Rattus norvegicus: one gene and its partner. The protein of the gene in region 1 interacts with the protein of each later gene in a biochemical or structural test. Links are inferred from orthologs where the notes say so. Each region holds a gene or a part of one and is shown in the gene's direction. Other genes may lie near its edges.

What was found.
Region 2: the proteins of Lrrk1 (region 1) and Chgb form a complex in vitro, tested with the Homo sapiens proteins (2 studies listed by BioGRID and IntAct, with this or other methods). The link is inferred for Rattus norvegicus from reciprocal best matches to the Homo sapiens genes LRRK1 and CHGB.

What each region holds. Positions count from the first base shown.
Region 1 is NC_086019.1:129,378,675-129,386,625, reverse strand, and holds the start of Lrrk1 (leucine-rich repeat serine/threonine-protein kinase 1), read left to right. Parts: upstream 1-3,495; coding exon 3,496-3,592; intron 3,593-7,951.
Region 2 is NC_086021.1:140,504,901-140,512,534, forward strand, and holds the end of Chgb (secretogranin-1 precursor), read left to right. Parts: intron 1-2,420; coding exon 2,421-4,180; intron 4,181-4,830; coding exon 4,831-4,908; 3' UTR 4,909-5,157; downstream 5,158-7,634. UniProt on the Homo sapiens protein: Secretogranin-1 is a neuroendocrine secretory granule protein, which may be the precursor for other biologically active peptides.

The sequences.
Region 1 (7,951 bases):
CATAGTTCTTGGGCCTCCAGCTGCATGATATTTTGACGTCCGTTTTTGTAGGCACGGATATTGGTCAGAGGATGCGGAAAGCACTAGAGGTGTCTACAACTGTAAGCTGTCCGTCTCCACCAGGTTTTGACTCAAGAAGGAGCTAGCTAATATGATCTGTCCCAGCATGCTTCGCTCAGACACTCAACACCTGTGTTGGTTGTCCTTCCCAAACTCTGTAGAAACACATGTAGCTCTCTTTGGTCAGAAACCTTGTAGCAATGGCTTGTTTTAGGGTCTTCCTTCCCCCTCTGGCATCATGAACTCATAGATATTCACTCTTCACAGAAATGGCTCAGTGAAAGCCTTTTCAGAGCAAATGGGAAACTCCTCCTCTTGTTACTCATTAATCATTTAGGTTTGCTCACTCTTACAGGCATGAAGAGTTAGCAAGAGGAAATGGGTGACATTTTAAAACATTATTAAAATTGTCAACGACTGAAGAAACCCTCTCGAGGCCTTCTGCAGGGTACAGAATGAAAACTCTTGTAATCTACCACGGTGGTCTGTGGCACTGCTCTGCACCTAAGGGAAGCACTGAGCTGTGTGAGGGCAAAGATGGAGTGACTCCAGTTACCTCATCCTAAAGCACTTACCTTAGGGTGTAAGTCAAAATACAAATGATAATTTAAAAACTGCCCCTATGAGAGAATCCTCTATCTGTGGTGTGATTTACAAAAGGAAACTGAAAGGGGAACCAAGCATGCTGGGTGAGAGGTAGCATAAAGTATTTTATAGTGTGTGTGTGTGTGTGTGTGTGTGTGTGTGTGTGTGTGTGTGTGTCGCCTAGACACATTATATTGCCAAGCCATTTCTGCTCTGAGTGGGAACTTCTACCACTGGGGATCTTAATGTATCTGGTCTGTTTCTTGGCTTTAGAAATGTGTTTGGGAGCAGATGAAAACTATGACTCTCAGTTTCTGGCTTTTAATGTGCAATTTGGAGCCTTGTTTTTAAACGGTGTCTGTTTGGAGGCTCTTCTCCCTAGCTCTTTTCTCAAGTTGATCTCTCCAACTGGGTTGTACGACTTACGAAGCTTCTGAGAATCGTCTGAACTTTGTCTGGCTCTCCTGTTTTCTTTCCTCTCTGTGTGGGCCAGACTTCTCAACTTCTTTGGATGATGTGTCCTCTGGTTCAGAGAAGTGCGGGTTATAGGAGCAAGGCTACTGATGTGGGACCCTCTTAGCCACATCTTCCCCTGCCTGAAAGAGTCCGCCCCAACCCTATCCTACCCCACCCCACACACCACCCACCAAGGGCAGATGCCTCATTCCTAAGCTTTCAAAGGAGAAATTGGAAGCACCCTTTAGCTCTTCTTTGCCCTGTGGCTTGTTCAATGCTTACACGGTTTCAGGGAAGCTTCTAGAACCTGCCTATACACTGGGACACGGTGATATTCTGAGTGTGTTCATCAGAAGGGAGGGAGGCATGAGACCCTGCTGACCTCCCAAGTCCTGTCCCTGCTGGAGAGTGTGGATGCTCAAACTCTGTCTTACGTGAAGTCCCCCCAGTAGCCCTATGAGGTTGCCAGGGTGCTGAGGTGTGAAGGTCTATTCTTGGCAGGTGAGAAAACAAGAGAAAATGTCACACTGCCAATACCTAATGGAAGCAGCCCACACCCTGACAGTCACACCAGACATAGTATCAGAGGTGTCATTTATATAATTATTAGTTCTTGATATTGCTAGTTTTGGTTATGTCCTCATTCTCAGTTTTAGGGTCTTAAATGCTTATGGGCCTACACCTTATGTAAAGGATGGACTATGGGAACATTGGCAGGACTGTGCCTTTTTTTTTCATATGCTAGCACCTTCCTGTCCTGGGTCTAAGCAGGCCTGGGCCTTTCTTCAGGAAAGCAGGAAAGCAGCAAGGCATCATGGGATCATGTCGGAGGTCCTTCAGGGCCATAGGAATCCAAGCATGTGCTTCCTCTCAGATCAGAATCTATTCAGTTTCAGGAGATGACTCTTAATTTGGTTAGAAGTCTATGTGGCCAGACAATTCATGCCACACAATTCAAGTTATTTTAGCCCCACTTCTGACTGTAAATGAATTCTTCTTAATATAAATGTTAGCAGTGAATTAATCCAGCAGCTGCTTTTCCTTACCTTATACCAATAATCACACAGGAAAACCAATATTTATTGAAAACTGTGCCTCAGTAGATGAGCAGTAAATGCTCTATCTTTACTTTCTATGCTAGTGTGGCTCCCTCCCAGCCCCACCCCATGATACTTGGATATTATTATTGATCTGGCTCTTTGGGCCCCTTTTCCATGGCTCCAATTCCTCCAGTCACTCACTGCTCTGAGTCTCCCTCTCTCCCTCCTTCCCTCCCCCTCTCTCCCTTCTGCCTCTCTCTCTCCCCACCTTCCTCCCTCCCCACCTTCCTCCCTCCTCCCTCCCTCCTTCTCTACCTCCCTCTCTCCCTCTCTCCCTCTCTCCCCCCCCTCTCTCCCCCTCTCCCTCTCTCCTTCCTCTGGCTGGTGGACATCCTGTCCTGCCCTGTTCTCTCTTCTGCCCAGCCATTGGGTGATCAGCATTTATTGACAAGGCAGAGACTAATTGGTAAGAATTGTTTACATAAACTTGAAACAGGAGATTCTTGGTATAAGCATTATAATACTGTGTCCAGATTAAAACAAGATATGAGGGCAGAGAAATCAGCATTGGAATGACAATGGGTGACCTTTACACCGTGCACAAAAACACTATGCCTTCATTTGACCTTTACTCACTATGAGCCTATAACACCCCCTCCCCCAAGTTGTGACAACCCAAAATATCTCTAGATATGGTCAAATGTCCCCTCAGAGAGAGGCAATGTTTACAGGATTCATTTGATGTCACAACCAGTAACAACTCCTTCTAGACTCCTTTTCTTTGGGGCCATTATCTGGCTGTCACTTGGAGCAACCATAGGTATCAGTCCTGAGCAAGGGATGGCCTTGCACCGTGAGCAGCCGTGCGCCCACCCTACCCCACCTGAAGTGTTAATCCTCCCAACGGGAGCCTCAATTTTGCTGTTTGGGCGGCATCAGGGTCCCATACAGGGCCTGGCAGAGACAGTGCAAGAGACAGCGGTTAAGTGTGGAGTGAACGACAAATGGGCACAGCCAGTGAAGCTCAGTGACAGCTTTTAGTTTGTTTTCATAGAGACAAGATCTGGGCCCAGTGTCAAGGTGGGATGGGAGGGGTCATTGTCCTTTCAGACATGTGGACTATGGAGAAATGTGCAGAGAAGGGGGGAAGCCAATGACAGTGGGGAACACCTACAAGGGCTTGCAAGAGAGGACGAGTCTGAAAGCCTTCTAACTCGATGTCTTTCTCCACCAGGACGAGCGTGTGTGTCTGCGGCACCATGAGCAGGTGTCCGTGCCTTAACCCATCTGCACAGTGGCAGTTGTGGTGACAACAGCAACACTTTCCTTTGGAGATCTGCTGCCTGGAGGGTTGATGGCTGCCGTGTCACAGCGACCACCCAGTATGTACTGGTGTGTGGGGACAGAAGGATCAGTTGTGTGTCCAGGGCCTGCCATGGAGACCCATAATGGTAAGTGGTACGTCCACAGGGACTGTGCTGTGCTTGGTCTATAAGGAGCTTAGGCTCCCTAAGAACAGGTATTTTCAACCAAAGAAAATAAAATTAGGATTATTTGGTGCTTTTTCTATATCTTGGGATTCTCACTTAAATTCCTAAAACTGAGAGGTCATGTACAAAATTTATTATGCTTTCAGAGATTTTAACATCATATAAGTTAAGGGATTTTTTTTTAAAAAACCGAGGATTCCTTTTTGTTTTTACACTATAAAAATGCTTGCTTACCAGAGAAAAACTGAGAAGAGAAAAAGAGAAGTTATAAAAAAGAGGTTCACCTAGTATCTCCCTGCGCCAACAGCATCACAGGCGGTGATGTGCCTGCTCCTTTAGTCTGTTTCTCTGTGGTTAAGGACTTGAGTTTCACACTACAGCAGTGGTTCTCAACCATCCTCAAGTTTCAACCCTTTAATACAGTTCCTCATGCTGTGATGACCCCCCGACCATGAAATTACTTTTGTTGCTGCTTCGTAACTGTAATTTTGCTACTGTTATGAATTGTGATGTGAAAATCTGTTTCCCGATAGCCTTAGGTGACCCCTGTATAGAATAAAACATGCTTCAAGATGGCCAAATTCTTGATACTGGCATGAATGGTTTTGAAGAAAAAGGCTCACACTTTAACTGAACACATAGTTTAAACTCCAGGGTTCTTTGGAAATGGTATCTTACGCCTTGCATTCATGGGTGTCCTGCGTTTTTGCACAGCCCCTACCTAGCTTGACTTGTATGTGTTTAGGATGGTTTCACAGCTCATAGATTTGCAAGCACAGAGCAAACTGCGGCATCACCATGAGTCTCATGAGGATGTCAGAGGGGGGCTCTGAGAAGGTGGAGGAGCCATCTTAGAGAGACTCGTGCATTTCAGATGATTGGCAGGAGGAGCAGGCAGCCAGCCCTTACCTCTGCTAGGCCAGAGCTGCTAGAATCTAGAACGAGACAAATTCCTTTGCCAAACATGACACGTTCTTTTCTATGCCCAGACCAGCTAGAGTGGAAAAACCTGCTCTACCAGTTAAGGTGAGGCACCCGGAGAAAGTACATCAGCTAGGAAACTTCCAGATAATTCAGCCTTTCCTACACAGCTGAAGGTATGGGGAGGTGCTGGAAGAGACCCATCTTTGTGTGAGGGTCCTGCCCTTGTCCCTGAAAGATGTGAAACAGCTACCTACCTCTTAAAGCACCGTTAACTGCCAGCCCAGCATGAACCAAAGAAGATGGAACATCCCAGAGGGGCTTCAAATCCCAGGTTGTTACATGAGTGTTTGAGATCTCTTCCTCCTCCCCCTCCTCCTCCTCTTCCTCCCCCTCCTCCTCCTCTTCCTCCCCCTCCTCCTCCTCTTCCTCCCCTCCTCCTCCTCTTCCTCCCCCTCCTCCTCCTCTTCCTCCCCTCCTCCTCCTCTTCCTCCCCCTCCTCCTCCTCTTCCTCCCCTCCTCCTCTTCCTCCCCCTCCTCCTCCTCTTCCTCCCCCTCCTCCTCTTCCTCCCCTCCTCCTCTTCTTCCTCCCCTCCTCCTCTTCTTCTTCCTCCCCCTCCTCCTCTTCTTCCCCCTCCTCCTCTTCTTCCTCCCCCTCCTCCTCCTCTTCCTCCCTCTCCTCCTCCTCTTCTTCTTCCTCCCCCTCCTCTTCTTCTTCCCCCTCCTCCTCCTCTTCCTTCCCCTCCTCCTCCTTTTCCTCCCCCTCCTCCTCCTCTTCCTCCCCCTCCTCCTCTTCTTCCCCCTCCTCCTCTTCTTCCTTCCCCTCCTCCTCCTCTTCCTCCCTCTCCTCCTCCTCTTCTTCTTCCTCCCCCTCCTCCTCTTCTTCCTCCCTCCCCTCCTCCTCTTCCTCCCTCTCCTCCTCCTCCTCTTCTTCCTCCCCCCTCCTCCTCTTCCTCCCTCTCCTCCTCCTCTTCTTCTTCTTCCTCCTCCTCCTCCTCTTCCTCCCTCTCCACCTCCTCTTCTTCCTCCCCCTCCTCCTCTTCTTCCTCCCCCTCCTCCTCTTCCTCTTCCCCACCTCTCCCTTCTTCTTCTTCTTCTTCTCTTCCTCCTCCTCCTTTGGCTTTTAAAAATACACATTAATTATCTGTCATGGTACTATAACCACATCGTTTGCCCAAGTGGGGACTCATCATGCCTTCCAGGAAATAGATTGTAATAGGAAATGCCTCTAACCTGTTAGCCTGTATGCTTCGATCTGTGTGCAGTTGCACTTGCTGGGATGTGTGGGGTGCATGTACTAGACAGGTGAGTGGGGCCACCCTCTCCAACCAGAGTACAGGGGCACCCTGAACCTCTACCGGAAGCAGTCGGGGGTCAGGTGGGTGGTGTCTTACTAAGTGAGCTGGTAGGTAGTCTGCTGGGTCACGGTCAATTCATGCAGGTGGCTAGAGCTACACTTCATTCCTACAAAGCAGAGCTGGCTATGTGACCCTGGGCTAAGTGAGACTTGTAACATTTACCTTAATCTGAGATCGGGGCCTCACTTCGGGCAATAGGGAACTGACTAGCAAGCCAATGATTTGAGGTTTTCCTAGGAAGTGGATGCTCTGGATTCTATCCTGCTGTTAACTAGTTCTGCCCAGTAGGGCAACTCAAATCCCTTCAGTCCTTCCTTTGGGAACTAAATGCCCCCGCTGCTAAAAGCCAAAACCTGGCTCTCCCTGCTGATTCCTTCTTAGGCCAAGTCTTCCAGGTGCAGTCCTCATAACACATTCTGCTCCCACAGTGCTTAACCTCCTTCTCACCTCAGGCTGTCTGTGGACCAATCCTTAGCCTGTGGCTTCCTGGGTGCAAGGAAAGAACAGCTCCCACCCCTGCCTGTGTGTGGGCTAAGGAGGGTTCCTACAGGCCCTTTCCCCTTTCTGAGTGGCCAGAATCAGAGCTGGTGGCTTACTCAAAGCCTCAGACCTCCCCTCTTCCCTAATCTGCACTTGATCCCCACTGTCTCACTGCCCCACCCCCACCTCCCCACTCTCCTCCCATTACCTGTGTGGCTGGGGAGAACAGGCTTCATGCGTGCCTGGGCCCAAGCCGTTTGTCACGAATTCAGCAGCCAGCAGAGGTGTCCAGTCTAGCCATCCTTGGCCCTGTGAGCACAGAGATTCCTGCGCAGAATGACAGGAAGTTCCATGGCCCTGCTTGGGTTCCCGATCCATGTGAGTCAGACTTTGCCACAACTAGAAGCCGTTTTTCTAAAAAATGAAACCCTTCGATCCTCCAGCAATGGACCCCTCGTCTTGTAACATATAAACCTAAACTTGAAGGAGTGGCTGTGGTACCATTTTGTGAGAACCATGCTTAGCATTCTGACTCCCCCGACCCCCAGTGGGCTTTTGGTTTCTGATCCAGTTCTCTCCGGGAACACGAAGAAGCAGCAGAGAGCATCAGCTATCAGTTGGCAGCAGAGTTTCAGGTCAAATAATTGACTTTCCACAAGGCTGTATCGCTCAGTGGGCTGTTCCTCAGCGTATGTGAGACATTTCCCATTCGCAGTAAGCTCTTCAGGACATGACCCCCTTGTAAGCTGGAGTCCTTCGGCCTCTCTCTCCATCCATCGTTCACCAACCAGAGCACCCTCTCCTGCAATCTGTCCAGATTCTATTTGACTGTCATGCTAGCTGCTGAATGACATTTGTTGACGTTATACAAAGGGAGCATACTTCTCAAGCCATATGCTGTCCCTGAGCTCTGATGTTGTGGAAAGAACCACACAGTAGTTTACTTAGACGCTGCATTTCAGAAATATGAATGGTTTTGGATTTCAGTTCGCTTTTCCAGTTTCTACTAAAGTTGGACCTTCTGGGCCCTCATCCACCATTCAGGATCCAAGGGTGCATTGCCAAGTGTGTCTTAAAATCATTTAGCTGGCCCTTTCAGGAGAGCCAAAAGGAAACTAGTTGACTTCTGAGACACTGAACATTTGAAAGACTCGGAGGTATTTAAAGGCCCCCAGAGCTGTGGTCTTGTTGTTGTAAATACAGGATTGTGCGATGGTGACAATTTTGAGGTTGGAATTTGAACACAAAATGGCAAGAATGACGCTGAGGGATGTCCTGCCAGAAACTAGTCTGGACTTAAGATCTGTGAGCACGCACAGAGATAAGTGGGGGTTGCAGGTTGCCCACACCTATGGGGGTTAGTGGTGCTAGGTGGGAGGTGGCAGGGCAGGGCCCTCAGGGTGCCTACTCCTGCCTCAGCTGACAGGCTCAAACGGCATCAGTGAGCAATTGCTCCTGCCTCTGAGCAGACATCAGCAGTGCCTCTGGACTCCAACAGAAAAGGCAAACAGGCTTACCCACAGCTCTGCTTGAAAGATAAAGAAAACAAGTGTCTGTAGGT
Region 2 (7,634 bases), on another chromosome or scaffold:
GCTTAGAGCTAAATTTAGGAGGAAGCACTCAGCTCCAGACACAAGCTGCTATAGGCAGGACACATTTAACACGGAAAATATAAAAACACTTCTGTTCTTCACACTTAAGACACCTCACACCTTAAATCAGAGGAGCATGTGGCCTCTGCTGTCCTTCTGCAAACTCTGAAGATGACATCAGCATTTGCCTGGCTGAATCAGCTGCGAGCGCTACAGATGATACCATAGTCGCACAGGCTTAAACAATATACATTAACCTCTCAGAGCTGTGGTGGCTACTGTACACAATCAAGGTAAGGTAAGGTCCCGCGTCTTGGCTGTCTGGCCATCTTCTCGCTGTGCCCTCCTGTGTGAAGGGAGGCTGTGGCTCTCATGTGTCCTCTTATTAGGACCTTGCTCTCATTACGAGGGATCCACTCAGGGCCCAGAACCTTCCAAGGCCTTCCCTCCCCAAACTATCACAGCATCTATTAGTATTTCCCCACAGGAGTTTGCAAAGGGGCACAGAGAGTCAAGGGTACCATCCAAAGCCTTCTTGCTTACTTGTCCTCGACTAAATAGCCCTGCCCCAGCACCTCATGTAATACCATGGGGGTTTTTTTGGTTTTGTTTTTTTTTGGGGGGGGCGAGGTCTTGGTTTGTCACTCAGTCTTACATTCACCTTGCAGCCCAAACTGCCATAGAACTCAGAATCCTCCTAGTATCATCATGGTCTCTTTCATGCTGCAGGGACTGTGACAGATGAGTGGGTACTCAAATGGCCATATATGGAAGTCCAAAGACATTCCGGCAGCCTTGTAGACATGGGAACATTATTATCAAGTCAAGCTGTGTTCTAATAGAGAGGTACAAACCAGCTGTGATTTCCTGAATATTTTATAAACTAGATAAATCTTGTCCTTTGTAGATATCAGTTCAAAATGACTCATAAGCTCTGTTCCTGCTGTGCTTGTTTTCTCTTAAGCTCCCACCTATTAACGTATAATAAACTTCCATCTAAAAACAAATAGAGCCATCCGTGCTGTTTGAGAGGAAAATAGTATGAACTACAAATATAATTTCAAATTTTCCAGTGGACATATTTAAAAAGTAAAAAAATGCAAGTGAAATTAACATCAGTAGTATATCTCATTTTATCTAATGTATTTTATCACTCCATATATGTAATATTACCTAATCTATCAAAAATGTTATTTTAATAATTCTCTCTCTTTTTTTTGTATGAAGTCTTTGGTAGCTGGTGTGTCTATCAGGTCTCAGTTTGCTCAAGCCACATCTCAGATGCTCCATAGCCACAAAGAACTGGTGGCTCCCACAGTGGGTGGTGTTGATGTTGGCCCGTAGGGCTCTGTGGCCTTGGCTTCTGGTCTCTATCTGAACTTGGTGAGAGAGGTTGAAACCTAAGCCCTTCCAACTAACAACACAGACAGTGTGATCTCCACATCCTTTTCATAGGGTGTCTTGGGGAGGATGTAGCACTTATTGACATTGGGAAAGGACAGAAGAGAGCAGCAAGTGCCACTGATTTCATCATCTGCTGACTCAGGAAACAGAGGCAGCCCAGCATACTTAAACTTACTCTCAGCACCGAGGAGCATGTAGATTGGGTGAGCCTGGGCGAAGAGAGAGAGAGACCTTTTCCATTCTTATCAGAAGGTGTAGCCATGCATTATTTAGAGATACTGAGAAGGGCATCAGTGGGCTATCTCACTGTACAAACTTACAGGGGGGGGGGCTCTGCCATCACTACCTGATACAATGATGTGGGACCACTGTGACGTTCACAGTCCACTGTAGGGTGAAATGCACAGCCCAAGACTGAGCTAAGCTCAGTAATGACTTTAAGCTGTCATTTCTCTGATGGATAGGGTCCACACAATTGACTGGATAACAATGTCTGATAGATAATAAATTTTGAATCCTCCTTTAAATCTTAATATTCCCTATTTTGGCTACTTATTTTTTTAAAGTTAAATTACAGTTAGAACTATTCATTTGTGCAATGCTAACCTTTCCACCTTACTCAAATGTGGAAAGAACAGTCCTGAATTATATCACTCTGAGTCTCCACGTCTTTTATACCTGCAAAACAAGTAGGCGGAACCGGATGAATTGTAAGAGTTCTTCCGGTTCTAAATTCCAGTCTTTCCTAAAGTTGCATATGGGTTTCAGTTTTACCATTGACAGTTACAAATAGAGATGCCGGGTAGGTATTATTAAAACGTTTAAACATGTAGAGAGCTCATTAGATTCAAACACAGCCCAAGAGTTTCCATAGCATCAACTTTTCAAAGAACTCCACACATCCTCTACTGCGTACCTCTTTCCCAGGGTCCTCGGGATCTGTGGCGACCACTGAGGCTGCTACTTGACCCTCAAGCATTTTTGCAGTTGTACTTACTCCCATATTTTCATTATAGGTGGAAAAGAGGTCAAAGGTGAAGAGAAAGGTGAAAATGAGAACTCGAAGTTTGAAGTACGGTTGCTAAGAGACCCATCTGATGCCTCAGTAGGCCGCTGGGCCTCCAGTAGGGAGGAAACAGGGGCTCCAGTAGAAGACTCTCCAGGTCAGGCGAAGGTAGACAATGAGGAGTGGACAGGAGGAGGAGGACACAGTCGAGAGGCAGTAGATGACCAGGAGAGCCTCCATCCCTCCAACCAACAAGTGTCCAAAGAAGCAAAGATACGCCATTCGGAGGAGAGGGGCGGAAAAGAGGAGGAGGAGGAAGAAGGCAAGATTTATCCAAAGGGAGAGCATAGGGGAGATGCTGGTGAGGAGAAGAAACACACTGAAGAATCTGGAGAGAAACACAACGCCTTCTCCAACAAAAGAAGCGAAGCTTCAGCTAAGAAAAAAGAGGAGTCAGTGGCCAGAGCAGAGGCACACTTCGTGGAGCTGGAGAAGACACACAGCAGGGAGCAGAGCAGCCAGGAGAGTGGAGAGGAGACGAGGAGGCAGGAGAAACCACAGGAGCTTCCCGACCAGGACCAGAGCGAGGAAGAATCCGAGGAAGGCGAGGAAGGCGAGGAAGGCGCAACCTCAGAAGTAACCAAACGCAGGCCCAGGCACCACCACTGGAGAAGCCAGTCCAACAAGCCCTCTTACGAAGGGCGTCGTCCTCTGTCTGAGGAAAGGAAACATGCTGCTGGGGAGTCCAAGGATGCAAATGTGGCCACAGCCAATTTAGGGGAAAAAAGGGGCCACCACCTAGCTCACTACCGGGCTTCAGAGGAAGAACCTGACTATGGGGAAGAATTGAGAAGCTATCCGGGCTTCCAGGCTCCCCAGGGACTGCAGTACCAGGGCAGAGGAAGTGAAGAGGTCAGAGCCCCAAGCCCTCGGAGTGAGGAGAGCCAGGAAAAGGAGTACAAGAGAAACCACCCCGACTCTGAACTGGAAAGCACAGCAAACAGACACAGTGAAGAAACTGAGGAAGAGAGGAGCTACGAGGGGGCAAAGGGACGACAACACAGAGGCAGGGGGCGGGAGCCAGGAGCTTATCCTGCTCTTGACAGCAGACAAGAAAAAAGGCTCCTGGATGAAGGGCATGACCCTGTTCATGAAAGCCCAGTAGATACGGCAAAAAGGTATCCACAAAGCAAATGGCAGGAACAGGAGAAAAACTACCTCAACTATGACGAGGAAGGGGACCAAGGAAGATGGTGGCAGCAGGAAGAGCAGCTAGAACCGGAAGAAAGCAGGGAGGAAGTGAGCTTTCCAGACAGACAATACGCGCCCTACCCCACCACTGAAAAGAGGAAGAGGCTAGGGGCGCTGTTCAACCCGTACTTTGACCCTCTCCAGTGGAAGAATAGCGACTTTGAGAAAAAAGGCAACCCAGATGACAGTTTCCTTGATGATGACGGCGAAGACGGAAATGGGGTGACAATGACTGAGAAGAATTTCTTCCCAGAGTACAACTATGACTGGTGGGAGAAAAGGCCCTTCTCGGAGGATGTGAATTGGGGATATGAGAAGAGAAGCTTTGCCAGGGCCCCTCACTTGGACTTGAAAAGGCAATACGACGATGGAGTGGCTGAACTGGACCAGCTCCTTCACTACAGGAAGAAGGCAGCCGAATTTCCCGACTTCTACGATTCAGAGGAGCAGATGGGGCCTCACCAGGAGGCAGAAGATGAAAAGGACAGGGCTGACCAGAGAGTTCTGACCGAGGAAGAGGTATGGTTTGAGGCTTTTGCTTAGAATTACACTGTTGATCAAGGTTGATGTTATTAGCATCAACATGTCTGATAATGGGGAGAGATGGATGGGAAATTTCACTGTGAGAATGTGAGTGCCCCAGTCACAGAACAGGGTTGATTTCCAGTCATCATCCAGCCAGGGTGCTGCCCTCCTCTTTTCTTTTATAGTATTTAGAGAACTTGGAAAACTACTGTATCTGGGATCTATCTCCAGAGTTTCTGTCAGATGAAGGCCGGTGCTGCCTGGGTGTGTAGTATACCTCAGTGCTTGAGCACCTTGCGGCTACCAGGCGATTCCAGTGCGCATGCTCACCTCCCAAACAGCGCCTTGACCTAATTTGATCATGTCAGGTGATGCCACTCAAGCTTGAGAGTACATCAGAGTCCCACGGATTTCTGACCCCCAGAGTTTCTCAGTCCCAGTTTTATATGGGACCTAGGGACTCTTATTCCTAGGCAATTGCTTGGGTTACCCAATCCACTCGTTCTGAGAGCCCACTTTGAAGACCCCTGATGTTGGCTGACTCGGGCAGCCTCTACTGTACCTAAGTTTCCCCTTTCTCCTTAGAGCTCCCTGAGATGGAGTAGTATGATTTGACATCAGTGCTCCACTTTTCTGTTTCCCAGAAAAAGGAACTGGAGAACTTGGCGGCCATGGATCTGGAACTGCAGAAAATAGCGGAAAAGTTCAGCCAGCGGGGCTGACAGTCGGAGAGACGAGCCATTCGCTGAAAGACAGCATTGATTCACCCAAAGGCAGAAAGCAGAATTTACTATTTATTAAATGTTTGATGCAGTTGGAAATATCACTAATCTTTGCCAGAATGCTAATGCTATGCGACTAGCGTGACTTGTAGCATATTCTTCCTGCAAAATAGATGTTCCACATGTCTGTGACAATGACCGTGTTACTGTCTTTGAAACACAAACAATAAAAGATTTACCTGAAACAAAGCCCTTCTTGGTTCTTAGCTTTCTTTGAGTTAGTTAGGAAGAGTACAGTTTTGAAATCCATTCTCCTAAGTATATTCTCAAAGATAGACTTAGAATGTGTTGGTCTTTAATAGAAAAAAGGCAAGGTTTCTGAAGTAAAATACTGCAGGATATACAGAAAGAGATTGAGTGTTGTTGTAAAAATATAAAAATAAAAGAAGTATTGTTGTCTTTTACCCCGCTAGGTCCGCACCGCGGTGCCCCAAGATATCTGCTAGATATCTTGGCAGAATCACATCCCAACTCCGCAGCGGCCCATTGTTTCCTGCCACTGCACACTTTCCTACACTCAAACCATCACATAAAAGAACACACAACACAATAATCTTAGACCCAATTGATAAGATATAATTGCCCACTTAAACATACAAAGCCTGGTACCATCCATCCCTTAGGAACATTAATAACAACCTGTAAATACACAGAGCAGAATCTTAACGTCACCTGCCATATTGTCCTGCCACAGGCTTCTCCCTCTCTCCCTCCTGTCTCTACCTTTCTGTCCTAGTCTCCTCCTCTTCCTTCAAACTTCTCTCCTGCCCATCCTTCCTTCTCATCCAGTGACAGGCCTCCTTCTATCTTGTGCCTGCCTCACCTGTGACTTCATCCTACAATTGAGAATAAAATATGGCTAATAGAGACCATATAGGCTTGAAGAACCCATTTTAAAAGAAAATGCAGGGTTGGGGATTTAGCTCAGTGGTAGAGCGCTTGCCTAGGAAGCGCAAGGCCCTGGGTTCGGTCCCCAGCTCCGAAAAAAAGAACCAAAAAAAAAAAAAAAAAAAAGAAAATGCATCACTTACATTTTTAATTTATTCATTGTGTGTTGAGGGGTTCAGAGGACAAAGTTGGTTTTCTGAGGTTAAAAAATCAGGTCGACTGGCTTCGTAGCCAGTGTCTTACCCATGGAGCTATTTCATCAGCCCAGAACATTTCTTTTAAAATTCTGCAAAGAAGGGGAAAAAGGAAATGACTCACTATAGAGGGCTTGTCTCGCACATACAAAGCTCTGGGTTCCATATCTAGGCAAAAAAAGACTAAAGGACATTGAAGGGGACAGTACATAACAGAAATGCAGCCAAATCTCCTTACGAGCTGTCTGCAATAGCCTGTGTCTATGGGCAGCTACTTGTGAGGCTGAGGCCAGAGAATAGCCTCAGAGATCAAGGCCAGCCAACGCCATCTCAAGAGAAATAGAACTAATTAGATTCTTACACACTGGAGAACTCTGGGGGTAGACTGTCAAGGGACAGGCTGAAAGGGAATCCCTGATGATGAAGAGTTCCCTGGATTGGGAAGATGAACATCTGGGACAGCATCCCTGGTACCTCCCTCGGCGCATACTTGACCTCTACCTTCTCTGCAGACAGAGATCTGCCTCTGCTGAGTGTGAGCAGCTGTGCAGCTTGTGGCGAGTTCTAGTTCTCGGGTTCCATAAAAATAAAGGTATCCTTCTCACAAGGTTATTTCTAACAAGTTTGTGTGAAACAGTACTGTGCCACTTGGAAATCGATGATGTAGGTAATGTCACCTGCTGCTATTACCACCTTGCCAGCTTCTTGTTCCAAGACAATCAGACAAACCCTTTCTTCCTCAATTACCAATCATCTCGTTTCTGACCAGTAGCAGCTTCCAATGGGTTATTTTTACTGCTTTCTGTTCAGGTAAAAATCTGTTTTCTGGAAGGTGGTAAAAATGTCTGAGGGTCATAGGTGATCTTTACTAACACAGGAAGGCCAGAGGATCTCCTGCTTTGCTAAGTTGAGAAATGATGTACTAATTTATCCAGATTCTTTCCAAATTAACACTGAGCGAACCGAAATTTTATTGTATAGGGACCAAGTCAGCTGGTGCTGTGCAAATGGTTCTAAACACAGGCTCACGTTTCTAGAGGGCCTCTTGCTGTCTCTTTTCTGGGGTCTTGCTTCCTGGATGTGGGATCAGGACTAGCTGCATGAAAGGGCTAATGGAACCTGCACACTCCTCATGAGTACTGAAGGCCACCTTTCTTTCCCCTGCTGTCCTGCTAAGTCATGAGTCCTAAATCACAGTGTTGGCAGGGTCAGGCTTCTGCAGAGTGTCTGCAGAGTAGGCTCCTTCTTGCCTTTTTAGCTCTGGTGGCCTCTGACATTTCTTGGTTGTGGTATAGGTAACAGTGGGTAATGACAGGATCACACCAAACTGCTGCTCTTCCTCCACAAGTCACCCTTTCCTTGCAACTTTCCATCTCCCAACATAGCACTATTGACGTGAAGGACAGCAGTCATCATGTACTGAAGGTCTCTCTGACTCCAGTATGACCTCATCTTAACCAATTGCATCCACAATAACCCTCTGCCCAAATAACATCCCACTTGGAGGTCCTGGGGGGTTCAGACATCAGTGTATCTTTTTCCATGCAAACAATTCAAAGCAAAATAAGACAGGTCAGCTCTCAC